Linked DNA regions of Oryctolagus cuniculus. The protein of the gene in region 3 purifies or fractionates together with the protein of the main gene of each other region. This does not show direct contact. Links are inferred from orthologs where the notes say so. Each region holds a gene or a part of one and is shown on either strand. Other genes may lie near its edges. The genes, in order: POLR3K, POLR1D and POLR2H.

Region 1 (2,816 bases), on a different chromosome or scaffold from region 3:
AGGGTCTCCCCGAGCAGAGCAGCAAGGGTCTCCTCCTGGAGCAGAGAGAAGACAGCGAGGGTCTCCTCCCCTCAGCAGAGAGAACAGAGCGAGGGTCTCATCACCCCCCAGCAGAGAGAACAGAGCGAGGGTCTCCCCCCAGCAGAGAGAAGACAGCGAGGGTCTCCTCCCCCCCAGCAGCGCACAGGAGGGTCTCCTCCCCCCCAGCAGAGCGCACAGTGAGGGTCTCCCCCCAGCAGAGCACACAGCGAGGGTCCCCCCCCCAGCAGAGCGCACAGCGAGGGTCTCCCCCCAGCAGAGAGAAGACAGCGAGGGTCTCCTCCCCTGAGCAGTGCACAGCGAGGGTCTCCTCCCCCGAGCAGAGCACACAGTGAGGGTCTCCTCTTCGCCCACGAGGACTCTCTGGCCCCCGATGACTTCATCCACCGACGGACGATGTTCCTGGCACCCTGGCCCTGCCCTCAGGAGGGCTCGCTCTCTGCCACACCAGCGAAGACCCTAGGACACACAGCTCACATTCCTTGCCAGGAGTCCACCCTGGGGACCGGCACAGCTGGGCCAGCGCAGCCCTAGTCCCTCCAGCGGTGCCCGCACTGGGGGCTGCAGCACTTGTAGAAGGTGGTCATGGGCTCGTCTGCAGAGCGCGTCTGAAGCTGCATGAAGTAAGCACGAGGATGTTCGCACTTGGGACACGGCTCTGCAAAGGAGAAAAACCAACCAGGGAACCACATTACATAAAATGACGCTGGTGGGGCCAGCATGGCGGCACAGTGGGGGGCCACCGCCTGCGACACTGGCATCCTATGTGGGCGCTGGTTAGAGTCCCGGATGCTCCACTCCGGATCCAGCTCCCTGCTAGTGCAGGGCAAGAGCAGCAGAGGACGGCCCAAGTACCTGGGCACTGCCACCTGTGCAGGAGACCCAGGCACTGGCCTCAGCCTGGCCAGCCTTGGCCATCACAGACATCTGGGGAATTAACCAGCAGTTGGAGGGTCTCCTTCTCTCCTACCCTGTCATCTTGCCTTCCAAATAAATCTTATCTTTAAAAAAGAGTTATTTGTTTATTTGAAAGAGTTAGAGAGAAAAGGAGAGACAGACGTCCACCTGTTGGTTCATCCCCAAATGGCTACAACAGACAGGGCTGGGCCAGGCCAAAGCCAGGAGCTTCATCTGGGTCTCCCAAGTGGGAGCAGGGGCCCAAGGACCTGTGCCATCACCCGCAGCTTTTCTCAGGTCATTTGCAGGGAGCTGGAAGCGAAGTGAAGCAACTGAACTTGAACCGGCGCCCATCTGGGAAGCTGGTGCTGCAGGGGCAGCTTAACCTGCTGGGCCACAGCGCTGACCCCAAACAGATAAATCTTCACAAAAACGATGCTGGTGAGGGACACTTCGTAAGATCACTAAGGACACTACCAACAGAGGCTCCACTCCCACCAAGCTCGAACACTGAAGGGACAGGTGAACCTGTGCCCTGTGAAACACTCCTCCCGTCCTGGGACCCTGCGTCTCTCCCATCTGGCTGGAGACTGATTAGAGAAGTAACTTGGAAGGGGGCTATCTCCACGGTTGGTGCTGCTGTAACAAACTGCTGGAGACTGAGTAATGGGGAGAGGCTCAAACAGCTTTGAAGTAAGTACTGAAAAGCCTGTGTAAGAGAATTTCAAAGAGCTCATAGAAAATGAAACTAACAGTTTCCAGTCCATGCATAGTTTCTAAAAGATTTACGGATCTATTTGAAAGGCAGAGTGACCTCTGATGAAGGAAGAGAAAGAAGCCAAGTCTGATTAATATCAGACGCCCTGGTTAATATCAGACGCCTGTCTCCCTTCTCGTGCAATCCACAGGAATAATTTACCAACTACTGTTTAAATGCACGTTTTTCAGTAGCTCTAGAAACTTTTTTTTTTTTTTTTTTTGACAGGCAGAGTGGACAGTGAGAGAGAGAGACAGAGAGAAAGGTCTTCCTTTTGCCACTGGTTCACCCTCCCATGGCCGCCGCGGCCAGCGGTGCACCGCGCCTATCTGAAGGCAGGAGCCAGGTGCTTCTCCTGGTCTCCCATGGGGTGCAGGGCCCAAGCACCTGGGCCATCCTCCACTGCACTCCCGGGCCACAGCAGAGAGCTGGCCTGGAAGAAGGGCAACCGGGACAGAATCCGGCGCCCCAACCGGGACTAGAACCTGGTGTGCCGGTGCCGCTAGGTGGAGGATTAGCCTAGTGAGCCGCGGCACTGGCCAAGTGTAAATAATTTTTAAGAGGTGAAATCACTTGCTGGTTGTTTGTTTTTTGATACAACCAGAAAATAGTAGCATTATAATAATACAGACAGACAGACAGACAACACAGTCCATCATGGGAGGCTTCGGCTGTCGTGGCCGTCAGCTTGACACTCCACAGGTGGGGGTGGCTTTTATATCCTACAACACATACTAAACGGCAAAGGTGCATTTCATCTGTCCTGACAGAAAACCACCCGGCGTTGCTGTCAGACCACGTGTGCTCTGTCAATCTCTGGCTGTGGGGGTCCACTTTCCCTAGTGGTTTAGTTCACGTTTTTGAGTCTGTCACATACAGGATGTTACCCTGTAAAGGGCGGGATTTATGTCACATCAACGCTTGAAGATGCTGGTGCTTGATGGGAAGAGCTGCCTCCAAATTTGAAGCTGGAAATGACTGGAGTGACTTTTGAAAACAGAACGAAAATTCAGGCTTCCTAGATTCTGCCTTGCATGTTAAGAACTGTGTAAAAATGAAAATGTCTGCGTTGATTCTCAACACCAGTGAAATCTCAGTTAACAAGCAGAAGGCCGAGACCTTC
Region 2 (3,748 bases), on a different chromosome or scaffold from region 3:
CAGAATTACAACTTTTTAAAAATATTGTTTCTCTTATGCAACACTTATTGTGTCTCACTATTATACCTATCCCCAAGGTACAAACCAGAAGCTCTATAAATAAATATCTTTAAAGAGGCTCTAGGGCAGCTCAACTAAGAGTTACTGAAAAGCTAACATGCCATAACTACCTACAGGGATTCATCTCATATTTACTAAGTGTCCACCTGCTGTCCAGTGTTGTGCTAGGTCCCAGGATCACACGAATAAATAGGATCAACTAAGGCCCCAAAGCACAGTGCATTGGGATATGGGAGTGCTCAGGCTCTAGGGTTGACAGGTATTTAGGATAATTGAAGAAGGAAGTTCTGGTATGACTGGTATGAAAGATGTTGAAGATGTAGACAGATACAATGGCTCTTGGATGTGATTTCACTAATATTTCAAGTTTTCCAAGTCATTTTCTCCACATGGTATTTTCCCTCTGTGTCCTTTCTCTCAAATAGTGTTTCTTCTATATGACCCTAGGCTACAGTTGGATACCTACTTAGACTAAAAATGTAATTTGCTCATTCCAGGTTTCTCCTCAGGCAGTAAACAATTATTCTATAGATGGTACAAAGATGGAGCTGGATAACTCCTGAGACCCTCATGTGAAACCAGAATTCTCAAAATTCTTTCAAATTATTCCCTAACCTTACCCAATCCCCTAAGAGAAAAGGATACAACTTTCTCATCAGTAAAATATCTAAGAAGCCAAGTCCACATCCTGACCTTCTTTCTTTTTGAAACCCACCAGTCTATCTGCGTAATGGTCTATTCCATCTCCTCTTTGCCTCACCACCCCAATCCTAGTCAGGAATGTATACTCCTTTTGATTCCCATGATGAAACCACTATTTTGGGTGCCTGATGCTCTGTTTTATCACTTTAAATGTTGGCTCTACTGCAAGCAAATAAAGTCATCCTTGAGGATGTTGCAAGGAACAGAAACCACTCAAAAATAGTTTCAATAAAAGAGGGAATTTATTAGGAGAATACACAGGTTCTTGCGGGGATTCCAACAGCTGTGATGAATGGGTCAACAGCTAGAACCATTTTTTTTTTTTTTTTTTGGAAAGATAGAGCAGGTTGTTGTAATCACAAACTTCTAATTCTGGGTTCTGCACAATCATGAAGAAGAGTATCCCAGAGATTAGTCCTCCTTGTATCCTGCACAAGGGACTAGAATGTGGATTCACTTCTGCTTGCTTTTTGATCCTTATAGTGCTTTATGCTGGCCTCAAACTTGTCAAGCACATGTTGGCAGACATTCATGAGCTCATTCAGCCCTCTCTGAAATGGCTCAACAGCTGGAAGAGCACCTCGAGTCTGAATGCGCAAATTAATTTTGCTCTCTGAAGGATGGGTCGTAGTGTAACCACAAAATTCCACTTCCGGGTTCTTCATAATCATGTAACGCAGAGAATTTCCTAGGGTATGGTCCTCCTCGTGCAAAACAAATGTCACACAGTGTCTATCTGTTCCAGCTGCCTGGACCATTTCCAGGGCTGTCTTCCTCTCGCCTTCGGCCATTGAGGTCTTCAATCCAGACATTTTTCTACACACATATTTTTTATAAAAGTGAGATCATACTGAATATTGTAACTAGCTTTTTTTTTCATTTACTATATCACAATTGCCACACATCATTACTCTAATCCACAGCAATTACACACAGAACTGTCAGCCTCTCTCTTTTCTGCCTCCACCACTTCTACCAATGAATATTTAATTTGCTGACTCCAGTTTCTCCCTGCTCCATTAACTATCCACGTGGGCCACACGGAGCATCTTCTTAGAAAAACATACACTTAAGTGTCTGCAAAGACATTTCTTTTGGAAGAGTCACAAGAAAGGGATATAGCATAGGGTGAGCCCTGCTGGAAGAGGAAAAGGGAGTTGAAGGTGTAGAAAAACACAAGATTGCTCCAGCATATAAACAGAGACTACAGATTATCAATGTGCAGGCCCAACTATGGCTTCCACTTGCAAGAGGTAAGGAAGCTAGGAAACGGTAAGAGCTGAAACAGTACAGCGGGAGGGAGAAACAGAACTCAGCGCTTTGAGGCAGGGCTACACGGCTAACAGTCTGCACGGAGGAGGAGGGAGAGCGGTAGTGACGGGGGGGCTTAAGCCGGACTGAATACGCCGCTGTTCTAACGGGGTTGGGCAGTTTCGGGACCCAACTCTGCTCTGCCAACTGGTCCGCCCTCCTCGAGAACTACTGTCCCTCGGAGCGCCTCTATTCAAACACATCCACGACTCCTCCCTTCTCCTCCCCGTCGGGCCCTGTTCCCTCTCTCAGCGTCCCGGGTCGGGCCCCTGCTGCTCTGCAGGGCCGCGGAGGTTAGGCCCGGGCCGGGCCGCGTGCCCGGTACCGCCCGCTCCCCTGCCTGGGCGCGGCCTACTCCGCCCGCCCCGCCCGCCTTCTCGGCCGTTACCTCTCCAGCTCTTGGTCGTCCTCCATCGCGGGTGCCGGTTCCAGGATCCTCAGGTGGTGCTGGCCGATCGGAGGCTCTGCCCCATGCCGCGAGCTGAGCGGCTGAGGCAGGAAGGAAGGAACGACGGACGGAAGAAGGCGGCGACGGAAGGAGGGAGGAGGAGCCGCAGCGGCGCGGCAGGGTCCGGGCGCTGGGCGGGACGTGGAGGCTCCGCCCCCGGCCCCGCCCCCGGCGCGAGGAGGGCGGTGGCGCCGGGCCCGAGCCGCTCACCTGGCGCGCCCCCAGCCTGGCGGCGTGCGGGGCGAGCCGGGAGGAGGGCGGCGGAGGGCCCGCTGGCGTCGCACCCGGAGGCCCCGGTCACAGTGCGTGCGCCCGAGCTCCACCTTTGGTACCGTCTCCCCAACTGGTGGCGAAGGGGGCAGGGCCTTACCTGCCGCCCCCACATCACCTCCCTTCTTGGGACCCAAGTCCGGCCTGCTAGACTCGACTGGAACCCTGTGGCCTCCCGGGAATCCAACCTCTTGTGGGACCGCAGGCTTGGGCTATACCGTCCTTAAATAGGAGGGGCTGAGTCTCGTTAACAGAACGTGGTGCTTCAAGACAGTACTCAGTGGGGTTCTTGCAGCTAAGCATCTCCCCCGGGACACAGGACAAGCGTTTACCGTTTTCCTTAGGGGAGAAGTGGGAGTTTGGGAGCACACTCACCCACCCCGTCCTTTCCTTCCCCCGGCCATGCACCTCCCTTCCACCCTTTTCTTTACCCCTTCTGCACCCCACCCCCGGGGAACCTCCCTCTCATCTTTGTTCCCAGGCGTCCCCTACCCCGCTTCGGCAGCCTTTCCTCGGCGGGGTTCCCTCTCCGGCCCCTTCCTCTCTGGGAGTGTTCAGTGCTGCTCCCCGCTGCTCACCCCCGGCTCCCGCAACCTCTCTAACGCCGGCCAGCCCCGGTCGCTGCCCTCTACCCCGGCTGTCCTCTCGCCCAGCACACCTACACGCCTGCTCTCCCGCGCCACCTGTTCCCCTCGACCTCCCCCCACCCCGCTCCGTGCGTCCCCTGCTCAGCTGTCCCGCTGTCCCCGCGGCTGCCCGGCGCTCGCTCACACACTTGCCGAGCGCCTTCCACAGAGGAATCAGGCGAGCGGCGGGGACAGCCCCAGGCGGGTGGGGGAGGGCGAGGGGCGAGGGACGGAGTAGGTTCACTCTAACCTAGGAATGACGGCCCCTCCTGGTCCGCCCCCTGCGTTCTCTGATAGGTGGATCCGCCTCTGATCCGCCCCCTCCCCGCCC
Region 3 (3,698 bases):
AGGTACTAGCTATGACCAACCGGAACTTGTCACCTGAAAACAGCAGCAATATCTGGGCGTAAAGAATAGCTGAGACGGCAAGAAGCCTCTGTTGATTCTCTGGGTTCAATACTTACCCAGGTCCACAGGGTAAATCTGAATGTTTACATCTAAGATGAGGTCCATCTTGAAAGATTCGCTCTCACAGTGCAGTCGAGACACTGGGGAGAAGCAGAGAGACGGACGATGTAATTACCAGGGCAAAGGCAGATCTGACAGATCCCAGTTTGGGAATTACAGGCAATCGACTATTTAATGTAACCTGATCTACATCCACTGGCCTCTTATGTGCTCTCACAGAAGTGCAGGCACAGGGCATATTGGGTAAAGCCGCCACCTGCAGCACTGGCATCCCAAATGAGTGCTGGTTCGAGTCCCTGCTGCTCTACTTCTGATCCAGCTCTCTGCTATGGCCTGGGAAGGCAGAAGATGGTCCAAGTCCTTGGGCTCCTGCACTCATGTGGGAGACCTGGAAGAAGCTCCTGGCTTCGGATCAGCCCAGCCCATGCCATTGCAACCATTTGGGGGAATGAATCAGCAGATGGAAGACCTCTCTTTCTCTCTGCCTCTGCCTCTCTGTAACTCTGCCTTTCAAACAAGTAAGTAAATCTTAAAAAAAAAAAAAAAAAAAAAAAAGTGCAGGCACTGCAGTGCAGTGGGCAGAGCTGCTGTGTACGAGGTGGGCATTCTGTATCAGAGCACCAGTTGGAAGAGGCTGCTTTGCTTCTGATCCAGCTCCCAGATCACTTTGGCTTCACCCAGCCCCAGGCACTGAGGCCACCTGGGGAGTGAAGCAGTGGATGGAAGACCTCTTTCACTGTCTCTCCCTATCTCTGTCTTTCAAATAAATAAAACAAACCTTAAAAAAAAGAGAGAGAGAGAGAGAGAAATGCAGGCTCGCTCAGAACCAGATATGCATGGAGGACAAAAACCATGGCAGGGGCCAGCGATTGTGGATTAGTGGGCAAAGCCCCACCTGCAGTGCTGGCATCCCATATGGGTGCCGGTTCAAGTCCCAGCTGCTCCACTTCCAATCCCTGCTAATGCACCCGGGAAAGCAGAAGAGGATGGCCCAGGTCCTTGGGCCCCTGCACCCACGTGGGAGACCTGGAAGAAGCTCCAGGAGCCTGGCTTCAGATCAGTGCAGCTCCGGCCATTGTGGCCATCTGGGCAGTGAACCAACGGATTAAAGACCCCTCTCTCTCTCTGTAATTCTGCCTTTCATATAAATAAATAAGTCTTTAAAAATTAATAATTGGGGCTGGCACTATGGCGCAGTGGGTTGACGCCCTGACCTAAGGCGCCGGCATCCCATATGGGTGCCAGTTCATATCCTGGCTGCTCCACTTCCAACCCAACTCTCTGCTGTGGCCTGGGAAAGCAGTAGAGGATAGCCCAAGTCCTTGGGCCCCTGCACCGTGTGGGAGACCTGGAAGAAGCTCCTGGCTCCTGGCTTCAGATCAGCACAGCTCCAGCCGTTGTGGCCATCTGGGGAGTGAACCAAAGGATGGAAGACCTTTCTCTGTCTCTACCTCTCTCTCTTTCAAATAAATAAAATTAATCTTTAAAAAATAATAATAATTTTTTAAAAAAGCATGGCAAATGAATGGAATCCTGCCCCCAAATCAAAATATTCTAGCAGCAAAAGACAGAGTTCTAGGCACTACCTGGGTGATTTAGAACCTGGGTCTGGGCAAGGGACTTCTTCAACCAAAGGTGTCCTCTCCCATGCTAAGGGGATTATCTCACTGAATAACTGAGACTTGAAAAACACCTCGGGCGCCTGGCCTGCACCGCGCAGTTAACTCAGAGGGTCTGACATCAGCTGGAGACTCGACTCCACACAAGAATTCGGGCTCATAAGTCAGACTGACCACGGTGCAGCCTTGGGTGGCAAACTTACCCTCCAGGAGGAGAGGAAGGCACCACCTACCTCCTGGGAACTCTCGAGAGCACTAAATAAGGCAAAATGTGTGTAAGTGAGAGGCGACTGCAGAGACGTCCAGGAGCCTGCCACCACCATGGCACTGGGCACCGCGTGTGTGCAGCCAGGGAGAGCTCGGCGTCTCGGCTTTCTCATCCATAAAAGGTCTCCTGGGAGAGGCCCCTACATCAGGACCTGCCGCAAGGGCAGGCCACGTGAGCCGGAGCCCAGGGGTGTGTCCCGAGGAAGTTAGTTTCTTCGGCCAAACCCCACACCTTACCTACCTCGGTCAAACTTCTTGCCTTCCGGGTCAATGTCTTTCACATCGAAAATGTCCTCAAACAGGATGCCCGCCATCGTGAGGGGGCCACGAGAGCAGCGGAAACGCGAGGAGCGAGACCACAACTACGAGTTAGCCCACTCTCGCGTGGAAAAAGAAGACACTAGAGCAAAAGGCGCCTGAACGCTGGCGGCAGAGCAGCAGGAAAGCGCATGCGCACCAGCTTGCAGTACGGCAGCCACTTCCGCCGCCTCCACCTCGGGGATTCTCAACTTCCGCCCCGATAGATTGCTGGCGAGGGAACACGCATTGAGGGCGTGTCTCCGAGCCAGGTGACTCCGCCCAGGGCGGGAACGCCCCAAGCACCACCTCTGGCGGAGGTGGCTCGGGTTATCGCGCTCCGCTGGGGCTCCGCTTCGCCCTCTCCAGAGTCCGGGCCCTGAAGCCTGGAATGCTTGGAGACTTAACCCAGGCCGAGACCTTGATCTTTGCCCCAGAGAAGCCGGGCCCTAGCCCTACCCTGCCGGTCCTCGTGTCCCCCGAGGGCATAGTCCGCGCCGGGGACGGGTGCAACAAAACTCCGCCCCCAGAGCGCTAGCCCAGCAGGACGTAATGCCTAGTCCCTCAACTGGCACCGAGGGCCCCCAGGTCGGCGGGGGCTGGCTCGGCCCTGCTGGACGTCACCTGAGCCGGGGCCGTCCAGGATATCACTCCGGGGGAAAGGAAAGCTGGCACTGCCCTCCTCTGGCGCTGCACCCTCCCCCCACCACTGCCCTCTTCCCCTGGGCCCTGCTCGCTCCTTCCGCCTGCCACAAATCCCCTCACACTGCCCTACCCGTTAGCAGTGCCCCCTCAGCGTGTGCCGCGTGTTCCCCCAGCACTGCCCTCCTCTTGGATCACTTTCCTGTCTCTTCCTCCCGGGTGCTGGCCCCCTTCTCCCACAACCTCCCTTCCTTGGCCTCCTGCCGCCCTCCTGCACGCCGCGTCTGCGCTCGCTATCTCGAACGCTGCCCGTGCACCCCGTGCTCACCCCACCCTCTGTTCTCTCCTTCCCCGGACCCTGATAGAGAAAGCCAAACCCCAGCAGGCCGTTTCCCCAAGGCGGCGAGACGTCAGCAGCTCCTGGGGTTTTCCTTGGGCCCTGCCAGGAGAAGCGACCTCTGCCCACCCCACCCCACCCCCGACGCCTGCCTTCCAGGCACTAGAACTCCCTTCCCTCGGGCCTTTCTTTCCCAGTCCCCTTGCCCGCAAAATCCGGCGGGTCCGGTATTGCAGGGGCACCTCCTGAGGCTAGCCCCGAGCAAGGGCAGGAGCCCAGAATGGCCCTCCGAATCCCCCGCAGAGGGGCCTTTCCAGGCCCGCCTGGGCCTCCAGTCCTCAGCAGAGAAGGCAGCTGCTCTCACGAATTAGCAGCCCTGCAGCCCCGAGCCCGAAGTCCTAAGCGCCCGGCGGCTC

What was found.
Region 1: the proteins of POLR2H (region 3) and POLR3K purify together in Homo sapiens (affinity purification with mass spectrometry; 3 studies listed by BioGRID and IntAct, with this or other methods). This does not show direct contact. The link is inferred for Oryctolagus cuniculus from reciprocal best matches to the Homo sapiens genes POLR2H and POLR3K.
Region 2: the proteins of POLR2H (region 3) and POLR1D purify together in Homo sapiens (affinity purification with mass spectrometry; 4 studies listed by BioGRID and IntAct, with this or other methods). This does not show direct contact. The link is inferred for Oryctolagus cuniculus from reciprocal best matches to the Homo sapiens genes POLR2H and POLR1D.

Annotation. Positions count from the first base shown.
Region 1 is NC_091450.1:34,577,163-34,579,978, reverse strand, and holds the end of POLR3K (DNA-directed RNA polymerase III subunit RPC10), read right to left. Parts: intron 698-2,816; coding exon 570-697; downstream 1-569. UniProt on the Homo sapiens protein: Core component of RNA polymerase III (Pol III) which synthesizes small non-coding RNAs using the four ribonucleoside triphosphates as substrates. Can mediate Pol I proofreading of the nascent RNA transcript.
Region 2 is NC_091440.1:86,895,657-86,899,404, forward strand, and holds the start of POLR1D (protein POLR1D), read right to left. Parts: upstream 2,641-3,748; 5' UTR 2,488-2,640; coding exon 2,462-2,487; intron 1-2,461.
Region 3 is NC_091435.1:93,932,365-93,936,062, reverse strand, and holds the start of POLR2H (DNA-directed RNA polymerases I, II, and III subunit RPABC3), read right to left. Parts: upstream 2,832-3,698; 5' UTR 2,321-2,831; coding exon 2,248-2,320; intron 201-2,247; coding exon 117-200; intron 34-116; coding exon 1-33. UniProt on the Homo sapiens protein: DNA-dependent RNA polymerase catalyzes the transcription of DNA into RNA using the four ribonucleoside triphosphates as substrates.